Notamacropus eugenii: one gene and its partner. Each later gene encodes a partner of the first gene's protein in a complex. Links are inferred from orthologs where the notes say so. Each region holds a gene or a part of one and is shown in the gene's direction. Other genes may lie near its edges.

What was found. Proteins that work in one complex are often made in the same cells at the same time.
Region 2: the proteins of BCCIP (region 1) and TENT5A are in contact, whole or in part, in a crystal structure (PDB 8EXE), measured with the Homo sapiens proteins. The link is inferred for Notamacropus eugenii from reciprocal best matches to the Homo sapiens genes BCCIP and TENT5A. Residues at the interface, in NP_510868.1 of Homo sapiens: Val57, Asn58, Ile59, Glu60, Phe61, Glu62, Ala63, Tyr64, Ser65, Leu66, Gln146, Val149, Leu150, Phe152, Cys153, Glu154, Lys155, Asn156, Cys157, Glu158, Lys159, Glu163, Lys167, Leu203, Ala204, Ala206, Thr225; in NP_060103.2 of Homo sapiens: Arg87, Gly88, Asp139, Glu151, Gln155, Lys158, Lys184, Glu185, Val188, Gln189, Lys190, Met191, Val192, Lys193, Val194, Cys195, Asn196, Asp199, Trp201, Asn213, Arg289, Lys295, Glu331, Arg334, Gln341, Asn342, His343.

Annotation. Positions count from the first base shown.
Region 1 is NC_092872.1:282,197,314-282,205,341, forward strand, and holds the start of BCCIP (BRCA2 and CDKN1A-interacting protein), read left to right. Parts: upstream 1-4,797; coding exon 4,798-5,019; intron 5,020-8,028. UniProt on the Homo sapiens protein: During interphase, required for microtubule organizing and anchoring activities. During mitosis, required for the organization and stabilization of the spindle pole.
Region 2 is NC_092873.1:154,128,070-154,135,544, reverse strand, and holds the start of TENT5A (terminal nucleotidyltransferase 5A), read left to right. Parts: upstream 1-4,108; 5' UTR 4,109-4,557; intron 4,558-4,860; 5' UTR 4,861-4,916; coding exon 4,917-5,420; intron 5,421-6,533; coding exon 6,534-7,313; 3' UTR 7,314-7,475.

The DNA of each region.
Region 1 (8,028 bases):
AGGGGCTATGAGAGCTCTCCACATTATTTAGGCACATTGACAGCTATGGAAAAGAAAGTCTCTCATATACCTAATGCACTGCAGGAAAGAGCCCTAGTACAGACCCCCTATCATTGTGCGTAGGGATGGTCCATGAAGGATCTTGAGCCCTGGGAAGTCATGTTACAAATGTCACAGCCCTCAGCAGCCAGTGGTGGTGGTGAAGAATGGGGTGCCTATGCATTGGTAATATATCCTTTAACTACCAAGTACTGCTTCATCAATAGAAGATGAGGGGAGGGGACAGGCAAAGCTAAAATTCTATCACTTCTAAGAGACTGCTGACCTCCTTCTCAGTGCAGAAGGTCAGCAGGCAGCAGAGTTTGTCTAGGACCCTGACTGAACAATCCTATTCCTTGGTATCTAAGCAACAAAGCCTTGGCAAACAAATAATGCTTATGAAACCAAATTCTAATTATCTTCACGGTAAGGCAGCTAGATTGCGATGGCTGCTTTGGGGAGATGGGTATTATCTAATCATTTCATGGAGTTATTCATAATGTGTTTCAACCAGAAACTAGCTGCACAGCCTCTCACAATCCTAATACCCCAAGGAAATGGGGATGTAATTGAGTGGCATGGACATCTTGGCATTTGTAGTTCGAACAGAATCTCATTCAGGGTGTACTCAAGTACCCTCTAACTTGAGGATGAAACAGCCACGGCCCATTTCAGCTGAAAGCACCAATTCATACTGAAACTGTCAGCACCAGACTGTGTCCTTTCCTAGCTGTGGCTGAAACCGTCCAACCTAGACTCCCATTGCAGCCCCCTCTCAATGCCCAAGCAGAGCAAGAAAGGCCTTTTTTCTGGTATTTCATTCCAACTCTTGTTTTCCTCCTCTTCTGGCCCTTCGCTTCCTTCTGTGCTGCAGTCTGCTTCATCCTTCCTCCCCCTCTCTACTTTATTTACTGCAGTCAAATTCTTTGCTTGTTTCCTTGCAGTGGCTAGAAAGGACAGATCAGTATCCCCAAAGTGCTGGATGGTGGGTCATTTATAGCTCAACTCAGCCACTATAGCACTGGAAGGCATTTGTGAAATCATTCGAGCTTCTCTGGGACTCTGTTTCCTTAAGTGTTAAACACAAAAACACAGATTAGGCCCAGATGACTGTCGTTTACAAAGTATTTAAGCTTGTACTGTGCCAGGTACCTGGAAAAGATGAAACAGGTCCTGCCCACAAGGAGCTTCTCTCCTTTTCCGGAGAAACGTGAACAAGGAAAAGTAAACACAAAATGGACACAAAGTAACTGGGGGGCTCTGCCTGGGCCTCTGGAACAAAAAGCAACTGAGCTGTACCTTGAGGGGAAGCAGGTATTCCAAAAGTAGAGGGAGTTGATGAGAACTGATGAAAACTCAGAGACTGGAATAGTATTACTGCACCCGGAGTTGAGCCCGCTGACTGGTAGAGTCACTGGTACTGAATGTGGAATCAGAAAGATGCCCTAGACCCAGACTTAGCTGGACATCCTAGCTCAGTCACTTAACTTCTCTGCCTCAGTTTCCTCATGTGTGATAAGGGAACAGGAATAACATCTCCCTCACAGGGCTGTTGTGATGATGAAATGAGATAGCAGCTATAAGGCAGTTTGCAAACCTTAAAGTGCCACATAAATGTTAGCCTTTACTCCTGTGAACTGACATTCTTCAAGGTGAAAGGGCTTTACACAGAAAAGGGTTTTATTCACGGATCAAACATGTTTTAAAACCCAACAGCCTAGTGCAAAATGAGCTTTTTTTTACTTATGTGCTATGCTGTTTTTCCTGATATCCCCAGTGATTTCTCCAATGGAAAATTCAGGGAAAACACTGCAGACAAGTCTTTGTATTACCATCAACTACTGAGGTTTCCTGCCAGAATCCTGAGATCTTTTTGTTTTTAAAGGAAAAAGTACTTTCGTTTTAAAAAAAATTTTTCCAGGCAAAGCTGATGTTCTTTTATGTGTGTTGCGTGTGCAGAGGCACATTTTTCATCAATATTGTCCTCCTAATTGAGGCTTTCTTTTATCTGTAAGAAAAGAATCTAACCAAAGCCATAACCCCTCAGTCCCCAAATAGGCCAGGTACAAACTATATTAGGTCCATCTGAGAAAACAGCCAGCAACTGGACCCAAGGCTAAAAAAAGAGCTCATTAGCAATGTTAAGACCTTTTTAGTTTGTTTTTGGACTTCAAACTACAAAAAAAAGTTTATCATTTCAACAATTCCCTGTTTCCGGCCAGGAAGTCAGGCTGGTGTTTCAATGATCAAGGATCACACTTGTGAAGGAGTCAGAGGAGGTGGACACCAGAGGTGACGTGGGCATGAACAGGGGTGTGCATGGGAGAGAAGGGGACTGGACCACAGGAACCCCCTCTACGAAACCAGGCTGGTACCTGCTTTGAAAACTGTGTTCTAAGGGTGGTCAGGTCAGCTGCCAGTGTGTGTCAGAAGGAGAACTCCAGTCTTCACCTTCCTGGTTCTGAGACTGACTCTCTCCCCACCGGGCCCTACTTGGTGCATGCCTCCTGCATGTAAAAGATAACATTTGGGAAATGTGCAGTTGGGAGAGAAGAGCCAGTTAGCTAGTGGGAGGGAAGGAGAGCTGATGGACACCCCTAGGGCTGCTGACAAATGCCACTAGACACAAATGAGGTTCAGTGGATGGATTTATCTTTCTTTTGATGCTAGGTAATTTCGTTTTCTTCTCTTTGAATGATTTATCTATCTTTTTAAAAGCTGTTAGTATTATTAATTCAATTTTTTTCACTTTCAATTTTATTAATCTTTTTTGATATTTGGATTTTCTATTTTGGCATTTATTTGGAGAGCTTAAATTTGTTGGTTTTCTAGTGTGTGTGTGTTTTTTAATTGCATTGCCCCAATTCATTGATCAGGTCTCTTTTACTAATCAAAGTATTTAGAGCCATAGTTTCCTCTAAAGATAACTTTGGCTGAATCCTGAAAATTCTGCTATGTTTTCTCTTTGTTGTAATTCTCTTAAATGAAGTGATCAGTTTATATTTGTTCTTTGACCTGCCAATTCTTTAGGCTTGAGTTAGTCTCCATTTAATTTTTAATTGTTAATTTAGTGAATATTTGTTGATTTTTAATTGTATTGTGGTCTGTAAAACAGGTGCATTTAATATATCTGCTTTTTTGCATGTTTGTGAGGTTTTTATGCCCTATTACATGGTCATTTTTTTTTTTGTAAAGGTGCTGTCTACAGGTGATAAATATATATAATCCTTTCTATTTCCATCTGACAACCTCTAGAGGACTATCATATCAAATTTTTCTAAAATCTTATTTAGGTCCTTTGCTTCTTTTGGTTAGATTCCTGTAGGTGTGAGGGGGTAAACAGAAGCTCCCTCCCTACTATTATAGTTCTACTGTGTTTTCCTATAACACATTTAACTTTTCTTGTAAGAATTCAGATGTCATGTCATTTTGTGTGTGTGTGCGTGTGTGTATACTCCCTATTTTTCTCTTTTAGTTAAATCTCTTTTTACTATTGCTTTCTCTGAGATCATGAAGTGAGGGTGTGAGCTGAGCTCTGAGAGTGTCTGGATGCCCCTCAGCCCTCCGACTTTCTTTAGTGCCACCTGTTCTTGACCACCAAGGCCCATTCTTAACAGGCTGACCCAGGCTGTCTCTCTCAGGCTCCTGCCTCCAAACCCCAAACTCTCACCTCCTTGCTCCGGTTCCCCAAGCCTCTCCTCTTCAGCTTCAGTCTCCTGGGAGGAAGAGGCGGATGCCATCTTTCCAGACAGCTCTGACTTAAGCTCCCGCGGGGGTGGCCCCCACCTCCCCCACACAGGCTCAGGTCTGGGGCTGCACAAAACCTTCCCTTGGCCCTGGGGCTGGTGGCACTCCCAGCGCCTGGCACGGGAGAGGAGGAGCTTAGGCGGGGCACATTAAACAGAGCTTCTCCCTGCAGCCTGTCCAGCGTGCAGCCGGGCCAGGGGGATGGCGGACCCAGGGAGCGGGAGGAAGAAGACCTGGGTTCGAGCACTGTGCCACACGCTGATGGCTGTGGGGGTCCCGGAGCTTCCTGCGGCTGATGGTGCGGGCTGGCTCCACTGGCACAGGGGAACGTGAGGGGAGGGACTCTGTGCTGTGATCGATGACCCGGAGGCCCTGGGTGACCCTTGACACTAGATGACCCCTTAGGCCCCCACTGGGCAGGGTTTTAGAGGCACACGAAGAAAAGGTCGGAGAAGGCCCGGCCCGGGTTCGAGTTGTGCCTCTGCTAACTCCCTGCCCAGGAGGCCTCGGGCCACTCCCTCCCCTTCCTGGGTCTCAGTTTCCTTCTCTGTCACAAGGGAAGGGCCTTGGACTCCACGGAAGGTACGTCCTTTGAAAATGCTCGTGGCCGTGGACAGCCCTGGGGGGCGGGGGCACTGACCCGGAGCCATGATGTTGGGAGACAGCAGCGACCTCAGTTTCCCCGCCGGTAAACGAAGAGAGCCACGCGAAGGTCTTAAGTGATTCGCGCACAAGTGCGCACGCGCACGGGCGTAGGCGCACGCGCACAGCAGGCCACGCCCCCTGCCCTTCCAAGGATCCACTCCCAGCTCCCCCCTCGGTGGAGCGAACCACTGTCGGACGAGGGGGAACTCAGGCCCGGGGAGGCCAGCATCAGGGCGCATCCAGGATCATTTAATGTTCAACGAAACAGATCAGGCTCGAAGGCTGCTCTCCCTACTTTAGGGGCTTCAAAGCGCCTTAGACTCGCTCCTCTCCCGCCCATACTCTGGGAACTTTCTCCCCACGCGCATGAGCCGGCCCAGAAGCCCTAACCCGGAAGCAGCTGCGCAGGTGCAGTGGGAGACAGGCAGCATGGCGTCCCAGGCCAAGAAGCGCGCCCTGGGCAACCGGCACCCGCAGCCTCCGGGAGCCCGGGCCGAGGAGGAGCGCGAGGAGACGGCGGAGGACACCGACGAGAGCGGCGACGAGAGCGATGAAGAGGAGGACGAAGAAGACGAGCTCGTCAACCAGGTGGGGTGGACCTGCCGCGGCGCTCAGTGACGTCACCGCGTAGCCTGTCAGCCCCTTGAGGGCGGGAGGTTCTGTCCCTCAGGACGTGGCACGCCTTAGGCACGTGGGGAGGGCCCAGTCTGGCTTCTCACACTTTTGACAGGTGGGGAAACCGAGGCCCGGACAGAGGGAGGGACTTGGCTCATTCCTCTCCCCTCCCCCCCTGCTGCAGTGGGCATTAGCGAATGCCTGCCGTATGCCCCGTATGCCCTGCAGCCCCAGCGCGAGGCTCTCTGCCGGTTCCCCTTGGAGCCAGGGCCGGCCTCCCCTGGGTGTGCGAGTGTCCCTGTGTGTGCTCACGTGTGCGCTCACGTGTGTGCCTGTGCTGCCTTGTGTGCATATGTGCGTGTTTGGGCACGGGTGCGTGTTCAGACTTCACGTGGCTGTTGTCCTTCGTCTTCAAAGAGGACCAAAATGACGTCACCATGATAAAGTGAAGTTTCTGTGTGTCCCACTGTTGGTCAGACCAGCACGAGCTCAGAGTGCTCCGCCACAGGTTGGGCACAGACAGTCCGTGGGAGTATCTGGGGTGGATACTCCAAATGTGCACATCCTACACTTACTTTGTGCTGTCTGTTCTGCTTTGCTCATAGAGCACGGCCCCTTTTCTGATGTGGGCACTCCATGCTGAGCCGTCCTGTGCCAGTGTCTCCCATGTTGCACAGTCAGATCCAAAGTTCTTGAGAGTGTCCTTGTATCACTTCTTCTGACCACCACGTGATCACCTGCCCCATGCCAGTTCTCCATAAAGTAGTCTTTTTGGCAAGTGTATATTTTGCATTCGAGCAGTGTGGCCAGCCCATCAGAGTTGTGCTCTCTGAAGCATAGTTTGAAGGCTTGGCAGTTTAGTTCTAGCAAGGACTTCAGCGTCTGGTACCTTATCCTGCCAGGTGATCCTCAGAATCTTCCTAAGACAGTTCAAATGGAAGTGATTCAGTTTCCTGGCATGGCGCTGGCAGACTGTCCATGTTTCATAGGCATACAACAATGAGGTCAACAGAATGGCTCTGTAGGCTTTCAGTTTGGTAGTCAGTCTAATACCTCTTCTCTCCCAAACTTTTCTTTGGAGCCTCCCAAACACGGAGCTATCTCTGGCAGTGTGTGCATCAACCTCATTATCAATGTGTACATCCCTGGAAAGTACACTAGTAAGGATAAGTGAACTTATCCACAGCATTCAAAACTTCTCCGTTTGTTGTAACTGATGGTTCCATGTATGGATGGTGTGGTGGTGGCTGATGAAGCACCTATGTTTTCTTGGTGTTAATTATTAGACCAAAGTTAGCACAGGCAGCAGAGAATTGATCCATTCTTTGTTGCCTCTCAGCTTCAGAGGCTGCATTGGGTGCACAATCATCTCCAAACAGAAAGTCGTGCACAAACACTCCCTTCCATTTTGGTCTTGGCTTATAGCCTTTTCAAATTCAAGAACCTACCATCAGTGCGGTAGCTGAACTTGATGCCATGTTCATTCTCATTGAAAGCATTTGACAGCATGGGAGCAAGCACACAGCCCTGTTTCACTCCATTGGGAAGGCATGAGAGCATTGTCCATTGTCTAGAACCTGGGCAACATACCATCATGAAATTAATGTACAATGCTGATGAACTTCTCCAGGTAACCAAATTTTGACATAATTTTCATTTTGACATAATTTTTCATTCATATTTGACATAAGCATTCGTGACTAACAGTGTCAAAGGCCTTGGTCAGATTTTTCCTGGCATTTCTCCTGGAGTTGTTGGGCGGCAAACACCATATTGACTGTTCCTTGGCCTTTTCTGAAGTTCCCTGACTCTCGGGTATATGACTGTCTTCCAGGTCAGATCAGCCTATTAAGGAGGACTCTAGCAAGAATTTTGCCCACAATGACTAAGAGAGATATCTCTGATTGTCACAGGACAATCTATTCCCTTTACCTTTATAGACATGGACAATGGAGGTATCCTTCAACCCCTGGGTGATAACCTCCTCTTGCTATATAACCTAGAAAATTTCAGTCAGCTTTTGTATGAGCAATGGTCCCCGTACCTTGTAAATCTCAGCTAGAATAGAATCAGTACCAGGTGCTTTGCCACATGAAAGGAGCCTAATGGTCCTCAAAACCTCTTCTTCAGTTGGAAGTTCAACTAAGGAGGGATTGACTTCAACTGAGGTAAACAATCAGTAGCCTCAGCATTGATTGATGATAGTCTGTTGAGAACACTATGGAAGTGTTCAGCCTATCTCTCTAGGATCCTGTCCTTATCACTAATCAATGTGGTTCCATCAGCACTGAGTAGTTGTGATGCATCGTAGGTTGTTGGTCCATAAATAGCTTTCAGGGAATCATAAAAGTGCTTTGGATTGTTACTATCAGCATAAAACTGAATTTCATCTGCATTCTTACTGAGCCAGGAATCCTGCTTCTCTCTAAGCTTTGCTTGTAGCTTTTGCTTTTGATGGAATTAAATGCTGCCTTCTTAGAGGTGGATGAACTATCCTGCTGGTAAATCCTGTGGAGTTCTCGTTTTTTGTTTATCAGCTTCTGAGTTTCCCCATCATTTTCAACAAACCAGTCTTGGTGTTTGCAAGTGTTCTGACCCAGATGAGCAAATGCAGTGCTGTGCACCAAATCTCTGAAAGCTGCCCACTCCCTTTCTGCTCCACTGTTACCAATTGTGCGTTGGCTCAACCTTCCCTCCAAATCAGTAGCAAACTTCATGCTCAGAGAAGAGCTCTAATTTGTTGACATTGATTCTTCTGGTAGTCATTTTGCCTTGGGGGGCAGCACTTTTGATGAATGCGAATATTTAGCTTGGAAAGTCTATGATCAGTCCAGTACTCTGCACCGCACATTGCCTTTGTCACTCTCACATCTTGTCTGTCTCTTCTCCTTACGATCACATAGTCTATTAGATGCCAGTGTGTGCTGCGAGCATGCTTCCATGAAGTTTTATTGTGTTTAGGTAAACTGAAAACAGTGTCAG
Region 2 (7,475 bases), on another chromosome or scaffold:
TAACTTTTCTATGCCTCACTTCCCTCACTCACAAAATGAGTGCCTTTCAATAGATGACCCACAAAATTGATTATCATATCCTTATTTTGTATTGACTGGCTTGCTTTGTGATATGTTTAGAAGCAGCTTGGGACTGTGGAAGGAGAACTCATTCCAGAACCAGAGAACTTGGTCCTACCTTTGGTATTTACTACCCAGGTGATTTTGAGCAAGTCCCTTAACCCCCCAGCCATCTGTTTCCTGGTTAATAAAATTCGGGAGTTGGACTAGAAGGACTCTGAAAGCCCTTATTGCTCCGAATATATGATCCTATGACTTTCTCAGCTCCCTGTCACTTATAACTTCCTCTCTCCCTCATTAGCCTTTATCAGTAAATACATTTAAAATTCCACTGTTGTGTTCATTCCTGTGAAAAGTAATGGCTAAATCAAAAGATATTCCAGCATCTTCCAGAGAAACTGAATTCCTGAGTTTAGATTACCCATCATAAACCTGTTCCTACTTCAATCCCCACATCCCTTCTTGGCATCATGTGCCAGTTTTCTTCTCATATATGTTTTTGATGTTCTAAATTCTTCAACAGAGTGATATAAATTTATTTGTTCAGGTTAGTACTCTGCCAATCCTTTGAAGAGTAAGTGTACTGAAAAAAATGTTTTTTAAACTTTAACACCAGTTTTGTTGAATCAATGCAGATCTCTACACTGTGAATTTCACAGATGTGAAATGTTCTTAACATATGTTGTATTTTCAACCAACTCTGTGCCAGAAGAGACATAGCTAGGCATTAGATACTTTCTAAGAAACCATGTAGTCCCCATTTCTCTGGAAACTATCTATCTACATAAATGTATACATGCGTATGTATGTATGTATACATATATATAAAATGTGTGTGTTTATAAATAAATATGTACAATTTGCTTACAAATTGAGGGCAGGAATTGACTTTTGCCTCTTCTTGTATCCTTATTACTTAACACTGTGCCTGTTATAACTATTAATTGATTGAAACTGAGCTAGATAGGTAGGAATAGACTAAGTCGTGGTCCTATTCACTAGAGTAACCACTTCCATTTTGCAATGAGCAAACTCTCAATCCTGCATCTTAAACTTTGTGTTACCTTCTCTAAAATACTTAAATGTAACTGTTAGGTAGTTTATAAGTTGCAGGCATGAAGAGTCAATGATTATATGTATTATACTAGAGAAACTTTAGACTTTAGAGCTGGAAGAAACCATTAGTAGCAACTAATTCCTGCTTGCAATGTCTTCCTTACAGGACTTTTGCAAGCAAAGAACTTTGTAAAACTTAAAGCACTGAATCATTCTCCTCCTCTTTCTCTTCCTCACTCTCCTCCTCCTCATTATGGCCATCTCCCTTAATCTACAGATAAGAAATATGAAGTTCAGAAAAATTAAGTACCTTATTCATGTGCACATAGCCAATCAACCATTAAACAAACATCTGCTAGATGGTACTCAGTCAGTCATTTAAATAAGGTCTTGGAACCCACTCCTCCTGATTTCCCCTGGCCTCAGTTCTCTCACCAGTAAAATGAAAAGGTTGGAATAGATGTCCTTGGGGAAAGTCCCTTCAAATTCTAGAACTATGATCCTGGAAGGTATATGAGAGATCAGGAATGATTTATCAGAGAAATGGGACCGATTCTGTAGGACTGAAGATGATTGCTATTTGTCCTGTGACTAGATTTTCTTTTTATCTAATAACACGAATTGCCAAAAGAAAATTGTTACAAACCTGAATATGAAAAAAAAATATTTGATTTTCTTTTTTTGTCCTCTCCAGTGGACCTAAACCTACTCAGAATACAGCAGACCTTTTTAAAAACCGTAACTTTAGTCACACAACCGTTTTCTTCTACCAGCTTACTTACTTTTCAGTTTAGGGAGACGTTATCAAGTGTTGGCTCTGAGGACAGGGTGTATCTGAGAGTCTGAATGAATGTGTTTGAATTATTTAGATAAGTCGGGGAGAGATCATTCATTCTACTAATACCTGGCCTAAAGGAATACTCCCTAGTTCTGGACTATTTCCCAAGTACTAGTCTTTGACGGTGAAGAGATGTTCCCCTCGCCCCCTAACCCCACGCCCAGCAGTTAAAGGAGTTTGCTTTTGCGTTTAAATATAGTTCTTTTTCTCTCCGGCAGGGGGAGGCCTTGCCACACAACTGGATGCTCCCTAGGTTACCCCCCCCCCCCCGTCCCCGCCCCCTATCTCTGCGATCCCTTAAGTTTCAGTTGCAAGGTATCTCCATTCCCCATTTAGAGTGAGTCAAGCGAGTACGCAGTGTGTAATGATGCCCCTGGTGGCATGAGGATGCCAAAGGGACTGGGGTACATTCTCCTTTAGCCCCTGATACTCTAGTGTTATATAGTGGGCTCTTAGCACTCCCAGCGGTTACTCCCATTTATCCCTTCCTATTCCCCTACGTACCACTCACTCAAAGCACAAACACAACACGCAGGTTTCAGGAATGGTTTTTTTGTTTTTTGTTTTTTGCACTTTTGTGAGAAACAGTGCTTTCTATCAAAGCACGGACCTCTCTTGCCGTAGTGATGATGTAAAAGGGGCCCCTGTGGACTATAAATGTTGAACCTTGGTACATACACTTCAAAGAGCCAAATCAGGGGCCAACGAAAAGGAGCTCTGAAACTGATTGTCACCCATTCATTTCCTGTGTCTGGGAAAGAAATTCATTCCTTTTTATGATCCATAGGGAAGAGAGAGAGAGACAGAGACAGAGACAGAGACAGAGAGACACACAGAGAGAGACACAGAGAGAGAGAGACAGAGAGAGACAGAGAGACAGAGACAGAGAGAGACAGAGACAGAGAGAGCATTTTAAAATAATTTATTACATGCCCGCTTTAAAAAAAAAAAAGATTTAGTAGGGGAAGAAGCACAAAAAGAGCCTTTTCCTCCTAGTCTTTTCTAGAAAACCTGACAGGAGAGAGTCGCAGCTAAGCTGCCCCGCGTGGGCGGCTTGGTCCACATAAGGGCAACGTCTTTCCTCCTCTATCCCCTCTCCCACTCCCCCTTCTTGCGCGTACCGAGCTCATTCAGACAGTTCTGACAGCAGGCACAGCCCCGCCCACGCAACTCGCCCATTGGCTTCTTCCCCCTCCCCCCACCCCCCACCCCCACTACCCTCCTTTCCACTAGACGAGAGAAAGGCATAAGCGTCATCGCGGAGGCTTCGGTGATTGGTCTAGCCTTTCCCTCATCAAAGCCTCCAGGATTCTCCGTGCAGCTGGGGCTGGAGCGCAGGTCTCAGTGACGTTGGGTCGGGTAGAGCTGCTGCGACTCCAGCTGTCCATCAAGCTGCTGTTCTTCAAGTTTTAATTCAGCCCTAGGAGAAACACTTTTACGTGGGTGCATGAGTCATCAGCATCCTCCCCTGATGCGCCCGGCCGGAATCTCAGGAGCTATCTCCTTGGGTGTACTCATTGGCATATATACTTGTTGCTGGAACTGAATCTCAGTTACCCCGAACTCTTCCCTTCTTCCATGCTAAAGTATCGTTGATCGGAAAAGTGTAGGAACTGTACTTACATTTAAATCAAGGTTATTAAGGGAGAAAAATAAAAAAGCAAAGCCCCACTTAGACTTTATGAATAACCCCTGCATTCATTCATACGCTTGTCTAAAATATTTTATTAAAGGAACCTTTTGGGATTTCCACTCGTTTAATTGAGCATAATTAATGAAGTGACTAGCAGCAATTCCTTGCAAAATAAATTCAATTTTTTTTCCCTAGGAAGTTTCAGTAGTTTAAACAGGTGATACAATTTCAGTAGCCTACTTAAGCTGTTTTTCATTCTTTATAAAAAAAAAAACACAACTATTTTCAATGCTGCTTCTTAGGGAAAAGAAAGAGGTGGCGTAGAAAAAAAAGAGAAAAAAAGGGTGGTGTTCTCTCTCAAAAGATGGTTCTAGTCTGGGTTGGGAGGGCAGAAGCAGATTTCTATGTAAATGAGGTGGGCGGGGGAGCCAGAACTGGGTCCGAAGGCCGAACTCTATGTAGATGAAGTGGGTGTGGCTAGAGTGCAGCGACTATGATCCCCGGAAGCTCGGAGAAATCCCATATAAAAAAGTACAGAAGACATTTCCCAAGCAGAACTGCTAAAGCTCTAGAGACGGAAGCTTAAGCGGAGGCGGTGGCGGGACAGCAGCCGCAGCAGCAGCAGCGTCAGGAAGCCAGTGGCAGCCCAGGATAGAGTAGCCCCGACGGCAGCTGCCCCAGTCTCCTCAAGGGAGAGAGCAGCACTTAAGAAAAGGAGGTGGAGGAAAAAAGAGTAAAGACCTCGCGCACGCAGAGACAGACCCGCACTCTCTGCCAGCCAGGGAGAGCAGGGCACAGAAAGTAACGAAAGAGGTTAATTGGCCAGGATTCAGGAAGAGAAGCCCCTTTGCCCGACTCTGCGCTTCAGCTACCCACGGCTCCTCTGCACTTTGTCCCAAGCTTTCTCTCCTTCGCTGTTGTGTTCATACACTCATAACTCTTCGGATCAGGAGGCTGCGACTCAGCCCAGGTGTGACAGAAGTGGGACGGGAACATGGGATCAGTTCCAGTTCATCCTTTTGCAGCTGAGACTATTCTGTTCATTTTGGGCTAAGCTGCGGGGGTTTCTGGTCTGTGTATGTGGGAGAGAGGGGAGAGGTCCAATTTTTAGACTGGGAGGGAAAGCGAAAATCTTCCTTAGATTTGTAGTGGAAAACCATCCAGCAACTCCTAGGTTGGGATCTTCAGGCTGTCACGGGGCTCTGACTCCTCGCCGCCAGCCACCCGCTTAATGGTTCTAACTTATCTTTTCTTTTGCTTTCTTATCTCCTAGGGCAAAACCTGGCATTCACCGGGCATTTCGCAACGGAGGGAAAACGGCTCTTTACCATGGCTGATGACGAAAGCGCCAAAAGCGTCCGCATCTGTACTGGCAGCGGCGGCGAGTGGTGCGGCTGCAGCTGCAGCAACAGCGGCTTTGGTGGGAATAACTGCTGTGTTGGCTGCTGTGAGAACCCCACCATGCATTGTAACGTGCTGAGCTGGGAGCAAGTGCAGCGGCTCGACGACATCTTGAGCGAGACGATCCCCATCCACGGCCGGGGCAACTTTCCCACCCTGGAGATGCAGCCCCGTCAGATCGTGAAGGTGGTGAGGAGCCGCCTGGAGGAGAAGCGCATTGGGGTCCGCGACGTGCGACTCAACGGCTCCGCCGCTAGCCACGTCCTGCACCAGGACAGTGGCCTGGGCTACAAGGACCTGGACCTCATCTTCTGCGCAGATCTCCAGGGGGAAGAGGAGTTTCAGACTGTCAAGGACGTGGTCCTGGACTGCCTATTGGATTTCTTGCCTGAAGGAGTGAATAAGGAGAAGATTACGCCTCTAACTCTTAAGGTAAAAGTCAGTCTTCCTAATGAATTGACTTGCAAAGGGAAGTCAGATTGGAATGGAAGTAAGTAGGACTTTCTTGATCTGGAAATGGAGCCGGAAAAGTTAGCTTTGACTAAAGGTGCTTTAGAGTGTTCCCTTTCCCCTCATTCCCTCGTCCTATTTCCCTTACCAGTCAGCAATGTAGTCGTGTCATAAAAAAAGTTATGTATTTCTCTAAGTCACTTCTTACCTTCCTTACTCCCTCTCCAGCTCTCTACACCCCCCCATCCCCCCCACTAGAGGCTCTGTAAAGTGCGTGCAACCTAGCGTCGCTTTGGAGAATAAATTTTGGAATCTACTAAGTTGGTAGCTCACGTAAATTTAAGCATTTGTAAAAATGTATCTAGTGCCCACGTAGTAGGCGCTTATTAAATATTTTGTTTCCTTTTTTCTTTCTATGCACACACACACCCTTTTTTATTTTTTATTTTATTTTATCTTAAAAAGCCTTGCATGCATTATCTAAGAAAGTTTCCATTGGAACGGATTTCAGGAACTAAAAAGTAGTGACGTTTTGAAAGTCGCTTATTTTAATATCTGTATTTATTTAACCATTTAAATTTCTTTGGTGAGTCCTGTTAGGACTCCCAAGCTTAGTGAGACTGCGTTGAAGAAGTAAGACTGAGACAATGAGTTGAGTGCTGTTGTATTGGAAAATATGAATCGGTTATGGGCTCTGGATTTTGGAAACCCGCATGCTTTAAGGCTTACAGAGTCAGCCTTTTTGGCAACATTTTTGCAATTGGTTAAAATTGTGTGGGCATGAGCAGTCAGCCTTCTCAGGAAATACCACCGACATTGTCCCGGAACCTGTTAGTACTGAACCCGATCTACTAGGAACATCAGACTTATATTTTTCTTCTTTTCTCTATCCCAGGCTGTAAAAGTCTCATTTACCTAGGAGATGAGTTTGTTGCGGGGGAGGGGAACCTCTGGAAGGGGAGTATTCAAACCTGTAGATAGCCTAGGGCGTTTGAGTAAAATGTGAAAGGAGCCAGCTGCATTCTAACTTGTGAAAAGAGGTTGATTTAAATTAGTAGTCGTGTTCATCTGCTTGCTTTGTCTTTCATGTTTTAGGAAGCTTACGTGCAGAAAATGGTAAAAGTATGCAATGACTCAGACCGCTGGAGTCTCATCTCTCTGTCAAACAACAGTGGCAAAAATGTGGAACTGAAATTTGTGGATTCCCTGCGGCGCCAGTTTGAGTTCAGTGTAGACTCTTTCCAAATCAAGTTAGACTCTCTCTTGCTTTTTTATGAATGCTCAGAGAATCCAATGACTGAAACTTTTCACCCCACTATAATCGGGGAGAGTGTCTATGGGGATTTCCAAGAAGCCTTTGATCACCTTTGCAACAAGGTCATTGCTACCAGAAATCCAGAAGAAATCAGAGGAGGAGGGCTTCTCAAATACTGTAACCTTTTGGTTAGGGGCTTTAGAGCTGCTTCTGAAGCTGAAATTAAGTCCCTCCAGAGGTATATGTGTTCCAGATTTTTCATCGACTTCTCAGACATTGGTGAACAGCAGAGAAAATTGGAATCCTACTTGCAGAACCACTTTGTGGGATTGGAAGACCGCAAGTATGACTATCTCATGACCCTTCACGGTGTGGTGAATGAAAGTACGGTGTGTTTGATGGGACACGAGAGAAGACAGACTTTGAATCTCATTACCATGCTGGCTATCCGTGTGCTGGCTGAGCAAAATATTATCCCCAATGTGGCCAATGTCACCTGTTACTACCAGCCAGCTCCATATGTAGCAGATGCCAACTTTAGCAATTACTATATTGCCCAGGTTCAGCCAGTGTTCACATGCCAGCAGCATACATACTCTACTTGGTTGCCCTGCAATTAAGGACCATTTCTAAAATGTCCAGAGGGAAAATGTTTTTCCTGAGAAGTTTAAAAAAAAGAGTGACCCTGTCTGTAGAATGGGGTGTGTTTTGTGCAATGGTGGTCTGCTCCAGTGTTCAAGCTTAACAAGCTTATGGGTCTTTTAATAGATATGGGAGCATGA